Linked DNA regions of Daphnia pulex. The protein of the gene in region 1 interacts with the protein of each later gene in a pairwise test. Links are inferred from orthologs where the notes say so. Each region holds a gene or a part of one and is shown on either strand. Other genes may lie near its edges.

The links.
Region 2: the proteins of zinc finger protein GLI2-like (region 1) and importin subunit alpha-3-like interact in a two-hybrid assay, tested with the Drosophila melanogaster proteins (2 studies listed by BioGRID). The link is inferred for Daphnia pulex from reciprocal best matches to the Drosophila melanogaster genes ci and Kap-alpha3.

What each region holds. Positions count from the first base shown.
Region 1 is NC_060017.1:6,877,471-6,880,848, reverse strand, and holds the end of zinc finger protein GLI2-like, read right to left. Parts: coding exon 3,056-3,378; intron 2,986-3,055; coding exon 1,342-2,985; 3' UTR 580-1,341; downstream 1-579. Other genes in the region: complex III assembly factor LYRM7-like, read left to right, coding at 23-95, 184-254, 318-399, 472-527. UniProt on the Drosophila melanogaster protein: Has a dual function as a transcriptional activator and a repressor of the hedgehog (Hh) pathway. The full-length ci form (ciFL), acts as an activator (ciA) while ciR, its C-terminally truncated form, acts as a repressor. Involved in segment polarity.
Region 2 is NC_060026.1:3,869,609-3,873,367, reverse strand, and holds the start of importin subunit alpha-3-like, read right to left. Parts: upstream 2,499-3,759; 5' UTR 2,333-2,498; coding exon 2,264-2,332; intron 2,149-2,263; coding exon 2,046-2,148; intron 1,713-2,045; coding exon 1,508-1,712; intron 1,433-1,507; coding exon 1,363-1,432; intron 1,291-1,362; coding exon 973-1,290; intron 908-972; coding exon 782-907; intron 705-781; coding exon 570-704; intron 494-569; coding exon 389-493; intron 312-388; coding exon 171-311; intron 109-170; coding exon 9-108; intron 1-8. Other genes in the region: divergent protein kinase domain 2A-like, read left to right, coding at 2,724-3,164, 3,323-3,742.

The DNA.
Region 1 (3,378 bases):
CTTTATTTTGTGCCTCGTATAGGTTCTAAAATGTTTTCGGTGTCTACATCGAACTCGTACCAAAGTGTTTACCAATGATCAAGTCGCCATGGATGGTAGGAATTTCTTTCGAAATATGACAAATAATAAGAAATGTAGTCATATATCAGGTTAATTGATGAATTTTAATTATTTACATTATAGCCGCTCGCCTGAAAATCAATTCTGAATTCCGAAAATATCAGAGAATATCAAGTCAAGAAGCAATAGCAGAAGTAAGTTGATCATTCTCGTTTCGTGCCGACATTCCAAGTGATACCCTGTTATTTTTTTGGCAGTTAATCAAGCTTGGAAACCAAGCAGAGGAAATTCTACGGACAAGTGTTGTGCAGGTCACCCCCACCGAAGAAAACACTTTCAGTAATTTATACCTTGAGATTGTGATCTTCATTCTTTATCTAATTGCCTTTTATTATTCTTTATGTGTGGCAGGACTCCATATAACAAAGGACACCTTTATGCACAACAACACGCCATATAGGGGATGATTTAGAATGTATGTTAGTGTATATGATTGTGAAAAATAGAGAGACTGTAACATTTCAACAGACATACAGTTTATTTTATTGAACATGTAAGTACAGTTTTCAAGTACCACAAAGCACAATTCATAGGCTGCCATTTGGGCCAGTCCACATGCAAAAAATCTTGCTGTTCAAGAGAATATATATATATGATGATGTTCACATCATTATACAACTGTCATGGTACCAAGGCGCTCCGATATGGCACTGCAGCAAAATCATTAAGCTGTCAAGGCACCGGAGATATGATTGATGGAGCAAACAAACTAATTCGAAAAAGGCAGTATCACAACAAATATTATTCGAACAGGCACGAGAAACAAGGACACGCAAAGGCACACATATACACATCTCCCCTCCCACAAAAACACCTCCCAAACCCAAAAAAGGGGGAAGTAACAGCTGCAAAAGTAAGGCAGAGACACAAACCACACACACACACAGTATATACGAAATAACGGCCAAAATTGTTTTTTCTTCCCCTTTTGGCACTCGGCGCACGTCATTGAGTCTCCACGGAACACAATTTAATGTACAAGAATATTCAAATTATTATTAAGACACGTAGGCAGCACTGAACAAATAAGAAATAATAATTAAAAAAACAAAAACAAAGAGTAATTGAGGCGAGATCTTCACACGCAGTCTTGTTCCATCGGAGCCCAGCCAAAAGAGACGAATTTGTCGGCTCTGATTGGCGTGCGGTTTGCCCAGCTTATTGCACTAGAACTCACTCAACGAGAAAGAAGAAGAAGCAGAGTACGCAACAGTTGCTATACTACTGAATCATTTGCAAGAAACGGTTCTCCTGCATCAGCGAATTGAGTGAAGTGTTCATGTCGTTAACAACCATGTTGTTGGCCGAGGAAGGCAACAGAGCTGCAGCAGCCGCCGCCGCCGCCGCTTCCTGTCGATCCGTTGAGCTGGAAACGGCGTCCTGGCCAGGGGAAAGCAAGGCCCGTCCGACAGCGGCCGTCTCGGCCGTCTTGGTCATTTGAGGCTCGCAAGCCCCAGGTTGTTGTTGTTGTTGCTGCTGGGGTGGTTTGTTCTCCTTAGCCGCTCGTCCGCCATTGTTGCCGTCTCCTGTCGATGACCAAGATTGGCACTGCTGGACATATTCCAATGTGCGCTGGTACGTCTCAGGACGCATATTACTCGGCGTTGTGACACCGGTAGCCACAGACGGAACGGCTGTGGCCGCGTTGTTAATCTGCTGGCTGTGCTGCTGCTGGACCGGGGTAGCTGATGGCCCCTGCTGCTGGGCAGCTCCTTGAACGCGAGCTCGGTTGATGAAATCTTGAGACTGGCTCACATCTTGGCATTGAATGGCGGATGCCACTTGGCTGTAAGGTGGCGGACGAGGATAGTTGTTGTAGGCCATCGCAGCGTTGCTCTGCATGTTGTTGTACATCAAAGACTGAGCATTGGTCGGCGGAACCTGGACGTTGGACGCTCCGTTTCCTGGACCTTGCATGGCGTTGTTCTGCCACGCAACATTATTGTGTTGTTGCTGCTGGGGGAACGGCATCGCCTGATGGTGTTGCTGTTGTTGTTGCGTCATGTTGTTGGGGGTGGGATATCCGCATTGCCAATTTTGGTTGTTTCCCGGATTGTTGTTGCAGACGGGCTGGGGCTGTTGGTGATGATGGCCGGTGCACGGAGAGCAAGGATTGTTGAATCCCTGGGCAACCGGATTGGCTTGTTGTTGGGCGGCTTGCATATGACCGCATTGTTGATTCATCATGTAGCCATTATTCATCGCCATGGCAGGTTGTTGGTTGTTGTAGTTGTTGTAAGGCATGGCATTGACGCCGGCCGCGTGGGCTGGCCCGTAGTTGGCTCCAGCCTGCGAGTAGTTTGACGGCTGCATGACGTTACATCCGACCATATTTGGTTGTTGTTGCCCTTGCTGGGCTGCCACCACACCGCTGGCGACGACAGGTGATTGTTGTTGAGCTGGGCAGGTGCCGTACATCGCAGGAGCTTGTTGCTGTTGGCCTTGAGGCTGGCCAACTTGAGCTTGATGGCAAACGGCCGGCCCATTGAAGTGCTGAGGAGCTGTGGCCGCCAATGCCGGACTGGCTTGCATTCCCAGTTGATTGCGAGCGGAAGGCGTCGGACTAATGTGCATGACGGCTCCGTTGTTGTAGCCAACCATGGTATTGTTGGGCTGATGGTGACCTGGATAATTGTGACTGCCCATCATTGTCGCTGGATTGTACTGATTAGTCATTTGCTGTTGTTGTTGTTGTTGCTGCTGTTGTTGCTGCTGTTGTTGCTGCTGAAATTGGTGGAACTGTTGCTGTTGGTGTTGTTGTTGCATCGCCCTGAACTGGTTGTGCGGAGCCGAATCCGGTCGAGGGCTTCGACCCATAAAGTAGGATCGTGGAGAGGCCATTCTTCCATCTTGATTGACGCTCACCTTTTTAAAAACAAAATTCAAATCCGTTAGAGAACAATTTTAATCGATTAATTAGTCGTTCAATTCTTACCTGATTGAGATACTGGAGCATTTCGTCAGGAACGACAAGCTTCTCTTCGACCATGTGACCCTCACCGACTTCTTCCAAGACGATTCCGCTGTTGGGGTGGTTGGGAGGATACCCGTTGACACCGCGGGCGGCCGGATTGTTAGTCCCTGTGGCGGTAGCTGTACGGAGCATCATCGGCTGCTGTTGTACGTTGTTGACGCTGTGGTGTCTCTGCAGTGCGGAGTTGAGTGGCGGAAGAGGAACCGCCGTTTGAGCAGCCATCGGCCGGACTGGATCCGACGCCCGTCGCATCTCTCGCTGGCCCTGAGTCGGTTGTTGCGTGT
Region 2 (3,759 bases), on another chromosome or scaffold:
CACAATACCTCCGCACTCTTCTATCAAAGTCGCAACGGAATCTCTTTCCTGACCCGGTGCAGCCATGCGCAGAACGTTCGAAATGCCGTCCAAAACAACTTGAATAACCTGAAATGCATTAAAATACCGGTTAGTATTGATACATATAAAATTTAAAAATCAAGTTTTACCTGGGGATCTTTACATGATAAGAGATGACAGAAAGGAGAAATAACACCACACTGAACTAGATAAGCCACTTGCTGTTTTCGTCCACTGATCGTCAGATTAGTTACAGCCCATGCAGCTTCCTTTTGTGTTTGAAATTCTCCCTGAAAACACGCCATTAAAAAAACAGAACAAATGATCATCAATAACAAAAATAATAACTTGAGTGAAATAAGTTTACCCTTGACAAATGTTGGACTATCAGTGGAACTAGCCCAGCATCAATAACAGCTTGAACTTGTTGTTGATTTCCTGCTGTTACGTTCGAAAGGAACCACAAAGCTTCCTAGTAGAGAAAAATCACAAAATGGTAAAAGTATTGGAAAAATAAAGTACAAAATAATAATAATAATATTGGTTACCTTGTTAATTTTCTCTTTATGGTGATTCAATAGAGTCTGAAAATGAGCCAGCGCGTCGCAATTCAGGACGCATTGAGTTTGTGCATCGGTACCTGTGACTATGTTGCCCACAGCTCTCAATGCAGCTGTTTGAACCTAGAATTTTAAAATTACAATTATACCATTGAAGAAAATAAAATCGAATGCCAGACTAGGCGTAAAGTAGCAATTACCTTGACATCTTTATGAGAAAGAAGAGGCACCAAGCTTGGCACCACACCATTATCGATAACCATCTGAATTTGCTCGTTCCCTCCGTCGGTCAAGTAACTAAGTGCCCAAACTGTGTCGACCAAAATCTGCGTGTAGAAATTAAAGATTTGAATTTGCCAGTTACGGAATTCCACTGATTATTTGATCTTACATTGGTGTCGGTATGATGGATCAGGGTATTAAGAGCCGGCAGCAGTTCACGAATAGTGTCAACATGAGGAGGGGGATCTTTATTGCGACAGAGGTTCACGATAACCCATGCCACATTACGAAGGAAGCTAATGGGTATTGTGTCTGTCACGAAACCCAGTAAGATTGGTACGACACCCAGACTTATAACATAGTCTCGCAAATGTGGGCCGTCGCCTATTATGTTTCCCAGTGCCCAAACGGCCTGTTCGCACACATTTGGATGAGGTGAGTGGAGAAGCATCAGAAACAGGGGAACTGCGTTCGCCTCCACAACCGCCTATTCATTAAAAATAAGTGTAATTTTTATTTTAAGTTTCTAACTGACGTACTGGATTTTTATGTCACATACTTGAGTTTGGGCAGATGTTCCAGAAGCAATATTGGTTAAAGCCCAAGCTGCTTCAAACTGGAGAGCGGCACTAAAATAATAAAATATTACAGTTATACTTTAGAGGTCTTTCTTTCGAGAATATGTTCGTTTTGCGATGTCATACTTGTCTTGGCGTTCTAAGCATTTAACAAATACTGGTAGAACTCCGCTTTGAATGAGCGCATCAATGGGTGGATTACGATCCGAAGACAGGAGCTTTCGAGCAGCTTGCACGGCTGCTAATTGGATATCAGGATCAGGACTTGATGCATTAGCAACAATCTGTTCTAAGCCCGCTAACGAAAGGCCTCTTTCTGCTTCATCCTCATCTATTGGCATTGAGATACATGATTATGTAATTTTGAATGAATGAATTAGTCATGATGTAAAATAGTTAAATTGTTCAGTTACAACACTCATTTCCCATGTATTTAATTTCAATGATGTTAATTTTTTAGATCTAATTGTAAGTGTAAATTGTCTAAATTCATCTAGCAATTTTATTAAAAACAAGCAAAGAACATTAAACTCGAAAAAACAGATGAGTCGTGTAAACACTACAAAAGTAAACGAGTGAAAAGTCAACATCAGCTTTCCCATAACAAAAAAGATTTTGTCTCTACATCAATATAAATATTCTAACAAACAATGCTAAAGTGTACCTGTAGAGTCAGTGTTAGGCACATTTCGTTTCTTGAGAAGAGTTTCCTCCCTCTTGTTTTTCCTCAGTTCTACTGTAACTTCATTCCTTCTTCTTCTCATCTCCTGTAAATATAAAAGCATCATTTAATTACACATAAGTTGAACCTCGATAACAGAGCCATATTCGACGATACAAACACAAGACCTAAAAGAAACTTAATTGTGTCATCGGCCTTACCTCCACGTCTTTGCCCTGATTCTTGTAAGTCTGCAAACGTCCTTTCGCATTATTATCGTGTGACGCCATGACTTGATTCAGTACACAAAACTTGAAAATAGTTCCACACCCACTTCCAAAAGATTTTATAACAAGTTATGATGTATAATAAAACCCAAGACAAAACTTTCAACACACAAAATCCATCGCCATCATCATGGGTGAAACACAAGTGCTATCTGTCGGCCAAAATTGCATACTAATAGTAAGTTGACATTTCTTTAAAATCAGATAATCAAACATTTTATGGAGTGAAAATTAATGAATTTAAATTTAAATTTAAAGATAAAAATACTCCTTAATTTTAACGAATAAGTTAAACATTTTTTGAGATCACACTCAGTTAGCGGCAACAAGGTGTAAATATTTTCCCAAACTGGCAATAGGTTTTAGAAATTTATCAACAATATCAAAACAAGACATGGACATGGACATGAGAAGAAGACGAAGTGATTTAGATTCTGAGAATTTTAGCTCAACGTTGAATATGCGTTTAAAATCCCAGTTATTTAAAGAAAAGTTTAGTTTCGAAATTGTTGGAAAACAACAACTATTAGATAGTGAAGAGGGCATATTGAAATATCCAAACATAAAATCTCGCTCGAGAATGAAACCGTTATTAGTGTGGGTAGTTACTCTGGGTGTTTTCTCAACTGCTCTTCTTAGATCAGCCATTCCAATATATTTGAATGTAGCAGATGAAAAGTTTCTTGAATTAAAAAAATGTCCTGCTTGCTATGGAGTTATGTTATGTCCCGCTTTCTTGATGGGTGATATTGTGCCAGAAACTTGGTCTAGATTTAAAGCAGCTCAATTGCTTAATACAAAGAATGTTTATTTTGCTACCTTCAAGGATAAACATGTAAGTTATAAAAGGCTTTTTCACTTTTAAATTATTCAAAAATTTGTGGATTTTTTTATTTTCGAATGTTTTGCAAAAGAAGACACCATTTTTGTCAGTGGCAAAACTTGAGGGTAAATGAAGGGAAAGTGATATTGGTGTTTTTATTGATTGTGCAGGTTGTTCTGAAAAAGCTTGGACATGATCCTCAGCTTGAACAGCTTGATCACCACATTCTACAACAATCTGTAGGACTTCTAAATAATCCTATTCAACAAGTCAGTGTGTCAGCAGCTGTACGCCCCTACACCCAGCAAAATGTGTGGCTTGATTGTGTTAAGGATTTCGAAGGGAATGGCAGCACTCTTGTTCACCGTTTACGAGTTTTTGATCCTTCCTCCCAAGATATTAGTAGTAATGATTTGCAGCCTTCTATTGGTCGTTTTAGAGGAAGTGACATGCTCATGTGCCCATCTCAACGTAAACTGAATTACATCGAAAATGAATTCGTTAAGAATAATTTTGGGCTTTACAGACTAACATGTCTGTATAACCTAATGACATTATTATTACTTAATTCGGAGCCGTTAATTTTTCAAGTAAGCATTCAACAAAT